3 linked regions of the Oryzias latipes genome follow. The protein of the gene in region 1 purifies or fractionates together with the protein of each later gene. This does not show direct contact. Links are inferred from orthologs where the notes say so. Each region holds a gene or a part of one and is shown on either strand. Other genes may lie near its edges.

Region 1 (4,170 bases):
GCCAACTGCCACTTAGGGGGTGCTTGTTGACAAAACTTCAGAACATAAGACGGTCAACTCATGTTTTCACATCAAGTTCTTCATAAATTTACAGAGTAAATATGCAGAAGAAAACAAAATTATGTGTTTTTTAGCCAAATAAACAACATTATGTGTTATTTAGCCAATAAACATTTGCTGGATAATATACTTTATCTGTTGGAGTCTAACAAGTAGTAAATCAGACGCTGTCGTTTTTTATTTATTCATTTTTTTGTCAAAACCTAATTTTTATTATTTATACTGCCATTATTGATAATTCTATTAATGTTTTTTGTTGAAATTTGGGAAAAAAAACAATTTTTTTAACCATTGGGAAAACTACAAATAATAAAAATAAATAAATAAATAAACAAATAAACAAATAATAACAATATTAATAATCATATTTTTTTTGCATTTTTAATGTATATTTTCGTATAGTTCAAGTCCCCCTAAAAAAGAAAATGAATAAAAATGTGTTTGTCACATCTGGTCAGAAAAAAACGAACAAAAATATAGCTCTTAGTTTGTTTATTTAATGACAGAGTGTATAAATATTTGACCAAAATCTTGTCGTGAAATAAAGAAATCTGCTACCAAAACCCTAAAATATCTCAAAAACTTTAAAAGTCATTGATGAAATAACTGTGCTGTCTCACCAATTTAGAACTTATTATGAATGCAACATATGAGTTAGCTCATTAGATTTCTCCTTTAGGAGGTGGGACATGGAGTAAGTGCTAGTATAAGATGAGTGCAAATATTGGCTCCAATTGGAGAGGAAGAGAGTAGCAGAATGAAATTCTGTGGGTAGAAACATGGATTTCTGTTGTTTTTTATTTTTTGCGCATATGTGATAGAGTTTATTCTTGTTTGTTTAAATACATGCCCATGCTCGTTAGCATCTTTATGGATGTGTTTCATGCGCACGCATCTGCGGCTCCTTTTGGCCCACGTTACTTTGATTGACAGGTAAAACTTGCTTTACACACCACAATTCCCGCCCCCGTAAGCCTCAAAAGTTCCACATCCTTATCGAATGCTCATTGGCTAGAATCCTTCTAGCTGATCGAGGTCAACGGACCAGAGGAAGTTTGCCGAACTCCTATTGGTCGACTGCCGACGCTACGTCGTTGGCCCCACGTGGATCGGCGGCTCTGATTGGCTAGAGACCATTTAGAGGGCTGGTTCAGAGTTTCGGTTAGACGGAAAGCGTGACACCGCGTGAGAAAGTTGCCATTGATGGAAGGCAGAGCGAGACGGAGGAGTGTACGTGCCGCTGTGGGAGTTTTTTGTTATCAAAACTAACGACATATTTCCTAATTTTTGTAAAATCTAGTTTGGACACAGGCTTACGTACAAATTTGACTTGGATACATCTTTCCCTGATTTATTCACCGCCGACTACCGACCTAGCCAAGTGGAAACTCTTCAGTGAAACTAACTTGTATTTATGTGTGATGATGCTAACCTAAAGCTCGGTGTTTTACGGTTCCATTATTTTTTTCTTTTGTTATTTTTGCCCGTTCGGTTGACGGTTCCTTCCCGGAGAATTGCCAAACAAATACAGGAGTGACTGAGGTTTCTGCCTCGCCTTCTCACCTGGTTCTCGCCGTCCTCCTTCAACTTCAAGCTGGCTCCGGCTAAATGAGCTGTGTTTTTTCCGGTTGATTATATACGGACGCTGCCGCTGAAGCGGACGAGGGACAACGACCCGGGACCACAGCCAGCCAGGAGCGGGGATTCACGCTAACGGCCCATGAACGTAGACCGAGCAGTGGATAGATTTGGTTTTCTGTTCGAATATTTAAGGACAACTGAAAGGCGGATGGATTAGTTTCCTTAATCAGGAGCTTCATACATCCTTGTTGTGCTTCATTTGATCCCTCGTTAGCGGGGTTTCAGGACAAGACGCGTTTGCAGTCTCCCCGGAGATAACAATGTTTCCCCAGGGAAGACACCCGGTAAGCTACTTCCTCTTTTTGCTCCATACTTCAGCAGGTTGAAACTGTTTACAGGAAGTATTGCCTCTTTGTTTGATTTGCACGTCTCACACACCCCCACCACCACAAGCTCTCTCAGGCTCCATGCCTGCTTATCTCCTTTTCCCTTGATAATTCTGCTCTACATCTGCCCTGGGGGCATCAAAGAAGAACTGATAATATTGTCTGATCAAAAATTGAGAAGTTGTTGATCTAACATCTTAGCTGCAGGAGGAGATCATATGCAGCAGACGGCTTAATCCTGTGTGTTGGTGTGTTTCAGACACCCCATCAGGCCCCGGGCCAGCCCTTCAAGTTCACCATCCCTGAGTCACTTGACCGCATCAAGGAGGAGTTCCAGTTTCTTCAGGCACAGTACCACAGGTGGACAACAGAGACGGGATTCACTCTGAATGGCCTGTTGTTTCTGAGAGGAATTTCTTTTTTTTCTTCACATTGTCATCCACCCGCTAATACAAACTTTCAACATCTAACCACAGCTGCCCTCCTTTGCCACATTACACAAAAACACACAACTCTAGCTACAGACAAAACCACCAACCCTGACTGGGTTCACATAGTGAAAAGCAAAAACATAAGCAGTTAGTACTTTCACTGTGGTAGGTCCAGTGATGGGTGAGAGTTACAGGGAGGCTTCATAAATCTTCCTTTCTGTCCCTGCATGTGTAGATAGTGCTCCAAGTATTATTTGGTGTACTTTTTCAGTAGTTGATCTGTAATTTGTGTTTTTATGGAATGTTGGGCACAGCAGGTGGAAACTGCCGATCCTCGTCAAACATTTAAATAAAACAGACATTTTTTTTTCATTTCTTTTGTTGACAAGAATCTAAACTTTGATGGTAGAAAAGAGAGATGATTGAATTTTTGTCACAGAGTTGATTGTGTTCCTTTTTTTCTTGTTCAGTCTCAAACTGGAGTGTGAGAAGCTGGCCAGTGAAAAAACTGAGATGCAGAGACACTACGTGATGGTAAGCTTCTTTCTCTGCTCCTGAACCTAACAGAGATCCATATAGCGTTTGGTGTTTTTTGGGTTTTTGAGGCTCCTATGGTGTCTTTGTCTTTTTAACTGTGCTTTTTACCTAAAGGTGTAATAAAACCCAACAATCACAACAACAACAAGAAGGCTTTTCGCACAACTAAAACAACATTCCAAGAATATGTGCAACTTCAAAAAAAAAAAAAAACTACAGCCAACAAAATGTCGTAAAAAATATCAGTTTGGTTCAGGTGAAGCTGTTGTGTTGACTGTATTGTTAAACTGAAATACCTAAAACACTCCTTACCTTTACAGAAAGGTGTGTTTTAAGTCTTAACAGCCTGTAAGTGCTTTGAAGCCACATTGACACTCAAAGGAAAACGCCTCAGACGCGTCTTTTATGTGTAGTCTTACTCAGACATTGATGAAGACCCCACAAGACAGTGGAGTTTAATTTAGTTGTTTAAAAATACATTGGAATCTGAAGTACAGCATTTGACGAATCTACTTTCTTGGACTACAACTGCCTCTGGCAATGATCAAGGGACATTTTTTTTAGTAAAACATGCACAACAGCAAAAACTGCATGATTTTTTATCAAAGTCTTACCTTTTAATTGTAGCCCTGTAAGTTTCAGTTAGAAATGGCTACAGGGGAAGCTGAAGTATTCATTTGAAAAATTATTTATTTTATTAGTTGAAGCATTTGACAAATTTGCCCGTGTTGTTTAAAGATGTGCTTTTTAGTTTGATACTTTTCAAAGTTTTCGGGGTTTATCTCACTGACATGTGCCTCTTCTCTCTCTAGTACTATGAGATGTCGTACGGCCTCAACATTGAAATGCACAAACAGGTACGCCTGCTTATCTGTGTCGTCTACATCTTCATGTTTGAGCCTCTTCCTTCTTTTGTGTTCCACTTCCTTATCGAAAGGGGTTTTGTGGTATTTGTTGTGTACGTGTTGACATGTCCTGTGTTTGTGTGGGCACACAGATGCTGTATATTTGTGTTTATTCGTTTGTGTATTCTTTTTTTTGTATATATTGAATGCTTGTGTGTGTGTGTTTGTGTGTTTATTTGTGATTGATGGGGCTCTGTCTCCATTTCCCCAGTTAGGGCTGGCCGGCTGAGCCCAGAGGCACAATGAATGGCTCTGTAGATTGATTGGTGC
Region 2 (3,326 bases), on another chromosome or scaffold:
ATATATATATATATATATATATATATATATATATATATATATATATATATATATATATATATATATGATAAAAAATCAAGTAAAGAGAAGCGCGCGCACAGCTCTCGTGTCTTTCTTTCGGTTTCTCATCTCAGGTCACATTGCACCTCACTGACTGACAGCACTATACAGAGACAATGCCCGGACATTTACAGTAACAGACATTATGTACACAGAAATTCAAACTGCAGAAGGAGATGAGCAGTAGAAGAGAAAAAGAAGAAATGATAATAATTATTATTATAATAATAAGATTAAAAAAATACCTGGAAATGTCAGTGCTGCTTTCTATGAGTTTCTCAGTGCTGCTCTTTTTTCTGCAAGTCTCTCCTCTTTTTTTTTCTATAGAAGGTAGTTATAATCATTTTGTCTGTTTGTACATGTAAAACGTTCAAGTGTAAAATGTTCAGCTTCGAGTTCCGGTCAGGTTCGCGCTCCTTCAGCGGGGGTGGGTGTGGGGGAGTCAGTGTATGAGCGGGTTGGGGGTCGAGCCCTGGTTCTGGTGCGTAAAATAATCAGACAAACCCCCGGAAAGTCCCGACGAGAATGCCGGCAGAGAGCCGGACAGCGCCGGCCTCAGACTGTCACACTGCAGCGAGGAAGAGGAGGGCGCCTGCGGGGAGTTGGAGGCAGACGCCCGCGCGGCCTGTAAGGAGCCGCCCCCGCCGCCCGCGCCGCTCTGCGGGGTCATGGACGGGTGCGGGACGTGGGGGAAAAAGTAGCTGGTCTGTCCGGCCAGCAGGTTGACCGAGCACGGATTCAGAGAGTACGTGGTCCCGGAGCAAGGTACGGAAAGGCCGCAGGGCACCGCCGAGGCCGCCAGGGCCGCCGCCGTCAGGTGGTGCGTGGCGTACGGGAGGTCTCCGCCGACGAGGCGGTCCATGCTGAGCCCGTTGGAGGACGGGAAGGAGGAGTGGTTGCTGCTCATGTTCTGGGTCAGCATGGTGCTGTAGGACATCGGGTGACCCGGGTAACCCGAGGAGGTCCCGTTGTAGCCCAGGGCGCCGCCGGCCCGCGTGTGGTGCAAAGACAGAAAGGGGGACATGGGCCAGTACAAGGACCCGGCCCGGTCCATAAAGGTCAGCCCAGAGGTCAGCCGCGCGCCGCGCTTGAAGGCGAGCTTGGCCCGGGACGTGGTGGAGCGCCGGCGGAGCTTCCCCGTGGTCCCACCGATGAAGACGTCGTCGCTGCTGGGGTCCAGCATCCAGTAGTTCCCCTTTCCCGGGTCGTCGTAGTGCCGCGGCACCTTGACGAAGCATTTGTTGAGGCTCAGGTTGTGCCGGATGGAGTTCTGCCAGCCCTGCTTGTTCTCCCGGTAGTACGGGAAGTTCTTCATGATGAACTCGTAGATGCCGTTCAGCGTCAGCCGCTTCTCGGGGCTCTGCCGGATGGCCATCATGATGAGCGCGTTGTAACTGAACGGAGGCTTCTCGTACTTGCCGCTCTTCTTCTCGCCGTCCTTCTCCGGCGCGTCGCCGTCTTTCCCGTCCTTCTTCTCCTCCTGCTTGTCTTTCTCCTCCGCGCAGCCGTCCTGGCCCGATCCCTCACTCTTCAGGCTGACTTTCCCCTCCGGCTGCGCGCACTGAAGCGGCGCCTTCTGCTCGGCGTCCTCCGCGCAGCCGGACCGGTGATGGTTCTGGTGGTGGTGCTGGTTCTGGTTGTCACTTTGCACGGCCTCTGGCACCAAACTGTTTATACTGAACGAAGATTTGGAGATCATCTTCACCTCTTTGCGCTCTCCCATGTCCAACATCACCGAGCAGTGAGGGGGGGCGACGGCTCCGACCGACAGAGACGAACACAGCTGGGCTTCGGTCCTTCCTGCCTCTGCTGGCGAACCAGGACGGGAAGGGAGGAAGGGGGAACAGACAGGAAGAAAGAAAGTATAGCCCAACAAACTATTTCATGTTCGGTTTGGGAGGAAAAGGGGAAACACACACAACACACATGTACACACACATCGATAGGAGACAGATAGCTGCAATTAATTTGGGAGCCGCAGCCACTAAAGCGAGTGAAAAACATTGGTTGGACCTTTCCAGTCCTCAGCCAACCAGGGAAACATTACGATTAAACATTGACGCGTCCTCGGAGCTGTCAGCCAATGGAGATGCGCGGGAAGCGCGCATATCCGCCAATGCTGGGCACGCTACAAAAAATGGCTGCCTGGAGCTGTTTTCCACCTCAAGAACGATCAAAATAAATCAGAAAATTGGACAAATATTTAGGCTTCAGAATATAATTTTAGATTTTTTTGTGTGTTTCGGATTTATGCAGAGGGATTTATTTACTGTTGTGCCTCAATTTCCACACTCGTGTCATCTTTTGTTGTTACATTTATGTTCTGCACCAAACCCTGAGGTTTTTTTAATAGATTTCTCAGCTCCCCCAACTTTTTGCAGCGTGAAAAATACTCACCCCTGTTCACTCCAGTCATCCCTCCCCACGGCTACACGTCCCCCCACCCAAGCCCAGGAAAGAAAAGTGACTGAAAACACGCACCGTGCGTGCGTAAACCCAGATCCCCGCCGCTCCAAACTGTACACTCTTCCGACTCAAATATTTGCCTTCTTGGTGTATACAAAACTGTTTAGCTGTGGGGCTCGGAGGGAAAATAAACTGAGACGGGCGAGTCCGCGGGCCACGGACACGGTCACGAAGCGCGTGGATGATTTGTGCGTCAGAGCGCAGCCAGAGTGCGCAGCGCGCAAAGACCGCGCTTGTCCGCGTGTAAAGTGAGCGTGAAATATGTAGAGACGAGGCGTAAACACAACCTCATGTGAGTCTCTGCGGTCACTTACCGCCCCCACCCCCCTCTCCGAGGACGATTTAACAGAACTGGAGGCAACAACGCTCCGGGTAACAGAAGACATGGAGCTCATCTGACGGCGCCCTCAAGCTTTCCAAAGGCTCCCCAGAACATTCACAAAAATACAATATTTTGCATCACTTCCTTTATATGTTTTTCAAAGATTCACGGTTTTTATTTATTTAATTATTTTGCTGTTGTGAACCAATCTCTACAAACTCCTGACAGATCGTCCGTCACGAATTTATTGGATCCCACAAACAAATCCACTGCGGTTCCGTGGTTGTGATTCTATAAAGTCTCAGCCGGAAAACTTCATAGCATCTCATGATCGTTTTTTTTTCTTTTTCTGTGAAGCTGGTAACACCGAGATTTCATGCAAACGCTTTAACCAAACCTGTCACTGGATAGGAACACCTATGTGTCTCTGCCCACGCGCTGTCTGCAGCAGAGATGATAATACACAGTTCACACACAG
Region 3 (3,127 bases), on another chromosome or scaffold:
TGGTCTGCAACATCAACAACAAAAAGCCCAGACAGTGCCTCCTATTGTTCCACTTTTATTCCCAGGGAAGCTGGTTAAAACATTCACAAATCCCCTGAACTCATGGTTACACTTTATTGTGTTGGATTGCACAACTTTAGGAACACAAAGCTGCTGCTCGTCAATAAACCTTCAGAAGGCAATTGTCGGAGTTATTTCACTCACTTTTGCCCGTCTGCTCTTACGTCTATCTAACAATAAAGATAAGGAAATGAAATTATGACCTGATATCTTCAAAAGCCTTGAACGCCGTGGGGCGGCTACAGGCGGGAAGGGGGAGGAAAGGGGGGGGGCGGCGGCGGCAGCGGTGTGATCGTGTGAGCTCTCCAGGCTCAGAAATATCTCTGCTCTGGCTCACATTCCGATAAGGGAGCCCGATCCAGCTCTCTCCGTAGGCGTGGTTTTCCCAGGCTTTTAAAACAGCAGCTGCTATTTACCTTCCCCTCTAATGTAAACCACTGCCGCCGCCACATGCCCTCCCCTGGCCCGGCGGCCCCCCGGCAGCCCGGCGGCCAAACCTCCAACCACCGCGCTCATAAAACATCCTGGCACGTGCTCCACATTCGCAACACGGACAGATGATTAAGTGGCAAACTTTTGTCAGTGAAATGTTTCTGCAGAGAAATGATGATCCCGTGTCTCTGCGTGCGTGTTCACCCCCTCATGTGCTCCCCTCGTGGGCTTTTGGAGATGTTTTCTTTACTAAATTGATTATAACCGCAGCCTAAAGCCAGGATAAGAGCCCTATTTTCTTCCCCTAAAAAAAACGCGCACCACTTTTCATGTTTAAAAACATAAAGTTATTAGTCATTTTAATGTGTCTAAACACAAAGATGTTTCTCTTGTTATCACAAGCCTTGCAGACTAAAAGTCATGCCCAGTCAGCGGCTCCACTGTTAATATGGAAACGGCGCGATGATTGAAGACTGAAGGCAGTTTCCTCGGCTGCGCCCTGAACTCGGGCCGTGCGCCATTGGCCGCCAGCTCCGGCAGCCAAACAACCAATGGGAGGGCGCCGACCACGAGCCGTCCTCTCTCGGGCCGCGTGTCCCTCGCCCTGATTGGTAGAAAGTTACTGTGGGAAAGAAAGTTTGGGAAGTTTCACACGAGCCGTTCGCGTGCAGGGTGAGATATAAATACATGCAACAAGAAGAGTCTATCAGACAGATCTGCTTCTGGTTGAGGCGCAGCCGCCGCGCGCATCGCTCTGACGGATACATACCTCAGGATTTTTATTTGTCCTTTTTTAATTCAAAGGAAAAAGGGACTTTTTGCCAGTTTGAGCGCATCAATTTACTCATTTCCTAAACCAGTGGATCCTAATTGTGGGATATTTCTAATAAGAAGATGCCTGCAGATATGATGGAAAAAAACTCATCCTCTCCGGTCGCTGCAACCCCGGCAAGCATGAACACAACTCCCGACAAACCCAAGACAGCCTCGGAGCACAGAAAGGTTGGTACATTTCATCAGAAATGCGCTCTCGTTCTTCTTCAGCTGGTGCGCATCGATCCAGAAATGTTCGGATCCGAATCATGACGTATATTATTTTGTTTTATTTAGTCCTCAAAGCCAATCATGGAAAAGAGAAGAAGAGCCAGGATCAACGAGAGCTTGGGTCAACTGAAAACACTCATCCTAGATGCTCTCAAAAAAGATGTAAGTGTTCCGGTTATCGGTCGATTTCAAAGCGTTTCTTGTCAGATAGTTGGCGCGTAATGCTGACCAGGTGTGTTTCCGTCGCTGCAGAGCTCCAGACACTCCAAGCTGGAGAAGGCGGACATCCTGGAGATGACGGTGAAGCATCTCCGGAACCTCCAGAGAGCTCAGATGACCGGTAGGTCTAATTTTACAATCCGATCTGTTGCTTAACGTAATCATCTGGACTAGAAAACACGACTCCAGACTCTACATGCCTGTGTTGACTCAGATGTTTGTCTCGCCGCAGCTGCTCTGAACACAGACCCTTCTGTTTTGGGGAAATATCGCGCCGGATTCAGTGAATGCATGAATGAAGTCACCCGCTTTCTGTCCACGTGCGAGGGGGTCAACACCGAAGTGAGGACGCGGCTCCTCGGCCACCTGGCCAACTGCATGACCCAGATCAACGCCATGAACTACCCCAGCCAGCATCAGCACCAGCATCCGCTCCCATCCACCGCGGGGCCAACGCACCCGTCCTTCAGCCAGCCCATGGTGCAGATCCCCAGCTCGTCCCCGCAGATCCTGCCCATGAACCCGGCGTCCTGTAAAGGCGGCTCCTCGCCGGCCGCACTGCCTTCGGACGCCACCAAAGTCTACGGGGGCTTCCAGATCGTGCCAGCCACAGATGGACAGTTTGCGTTCCTCATTCCCAACGCGGCGTTTGCGCCGAACGGCCCCGTTATCCCCGTGTACGCCAACAACGTCAGCACGCCGGTGTCTGTCCCGGCTGCCGTTTCCCCGGGAGCCCCGTCAGGAACCACTGATTCAGTGTGGAGACCGTGGTGAGAGGTGGAGGAGTGACTGAAAACATACTCTCTAGTTCAACATGTCATCATGATAGACTTTTCTTTTTTTTTTCTTGTAAAATGAAGAGTATGCACTATATTTGTACAGCTAACAAGGGACTAAAGTTCATATTGAAATGAGATTTGTATTGTGGAAGTTCGTTCACTGCATTTTTATAGGCTATATAAATATATATATTTGAGTTGTCTTTTCTACTGTGTGACGCCAAAGACATGTTTGATGCTGTCCTGTTCTTCGTTTTGGAAGACAAATAAATTTGTAAAAAAAAAAAAATGTTGAAAAGTCAGTTTTTTATCATATCAAATGGAACAGACTTTAAGTTCACTTCTTTGTCCATTACTCCAAGTTAAAGCTGAGATTTTAATGTGAAAGTACTGCTTTTGTGCATGGAAAAAGTTTCTGAAGTGTATTTTCCAGGACAAAACTTGAGTTAAAAATATGAAATCTTAGTTCGTGACATCAACCAAATTAAATATTTTTGACCATAAAACACATCTGTGGACAAAAATGTAAAATATTGTTACATTTGTGCATATAGGAGCTTAAAAAGTGGATTTTGGGGGGCGTTTCTGCACCA

The links.
Region 2: the proteins of transducin-like enhancer protein 1 (region 1) and foxg1 purify together in Homo sapiens (affinity purification with western blotting; 3 studies listed by BioGRID and IntAct, with this or other methods). This does not show direct contact. The link is inferred for Oryzias latipes from reciprocal best matches to the Homo sapiens genes TLE1 and FOXG1.
Region 3: the proteins of transducin-like enhancer protein 1 (region 1) and hes1 purify together in Homo sapiens (affinity purification with western blotting; 4 studies listed by BioGRID and IntAct, with this or other methods). This does not show direct contact. The link is inferred for Oryzias latipes from reciprocal best matches to the Homo sapiens genes TLE1 and HES1.

Annotation. Positions count from the first base shown.
Region 1 is NC_019867.2:10,616,751-10,620,920, forward strand, and holds the start of transducin-like enhancer protein 1, read left to right. Parts: upstream 1-1,243; 5' UTR 1,244-1,961; coding exon 1,962-1,985; intron 1,986-2,286; coding exon 2,287-2,387; intron 2,388-2,928; coding exon 2,929-2,992; intron 2,993-3,807; coding exon 3,808-3,852; intron 3,853-4,170. UniProt on the Homo sapiens protein: Transcriptional corepressor that binds to a number of transcription factors. Inhibits NF-kappa-B-regulated gene expression. Inhibits the transcriptional activation mediated by FOXA2, and by CTNNB1 and TCF family members in Wnt signaling.
Region 2 is NC_019880.2:2,901,660-2,904,985, forward strand, and holds foxg1 (forkhead box protein G1), read right to left. Parts: upstream 1,784-3,326; coding exon 1,623-1,783; intron 1,482-1,622; coding exon 746-1,481; intron 653-745; coding exon 503-652; downstream 1-502. UniProt on the Homo sapiens protein: Transcription repression factor which plays an important role in the establishment of the regional subdivision of the developing brain and in the development of the telencephalon.
Region 3 is NC_019862.2:12,732,698-12,735,824, reverse strand, and holds hes1 (transcription factor HES-1), read left to right. Parts: upstream 1-1,386; coding exon 1,387-1,494; intron 1,495-1,602; coding exon 1,603-1,698; intron 1,699-1,788; coding exon 1,789-1,876; intron 1,877-1,987; coding exon 1,988-2,529; downstream 2,530-3,127. UniProt on the Homo sapiens protein: Transcriptional repressor of genes that require a bHLH protein for their transcription. May act as a negative regulator of myogenesis by inhibiting the functions of MYOD1 and ASH1.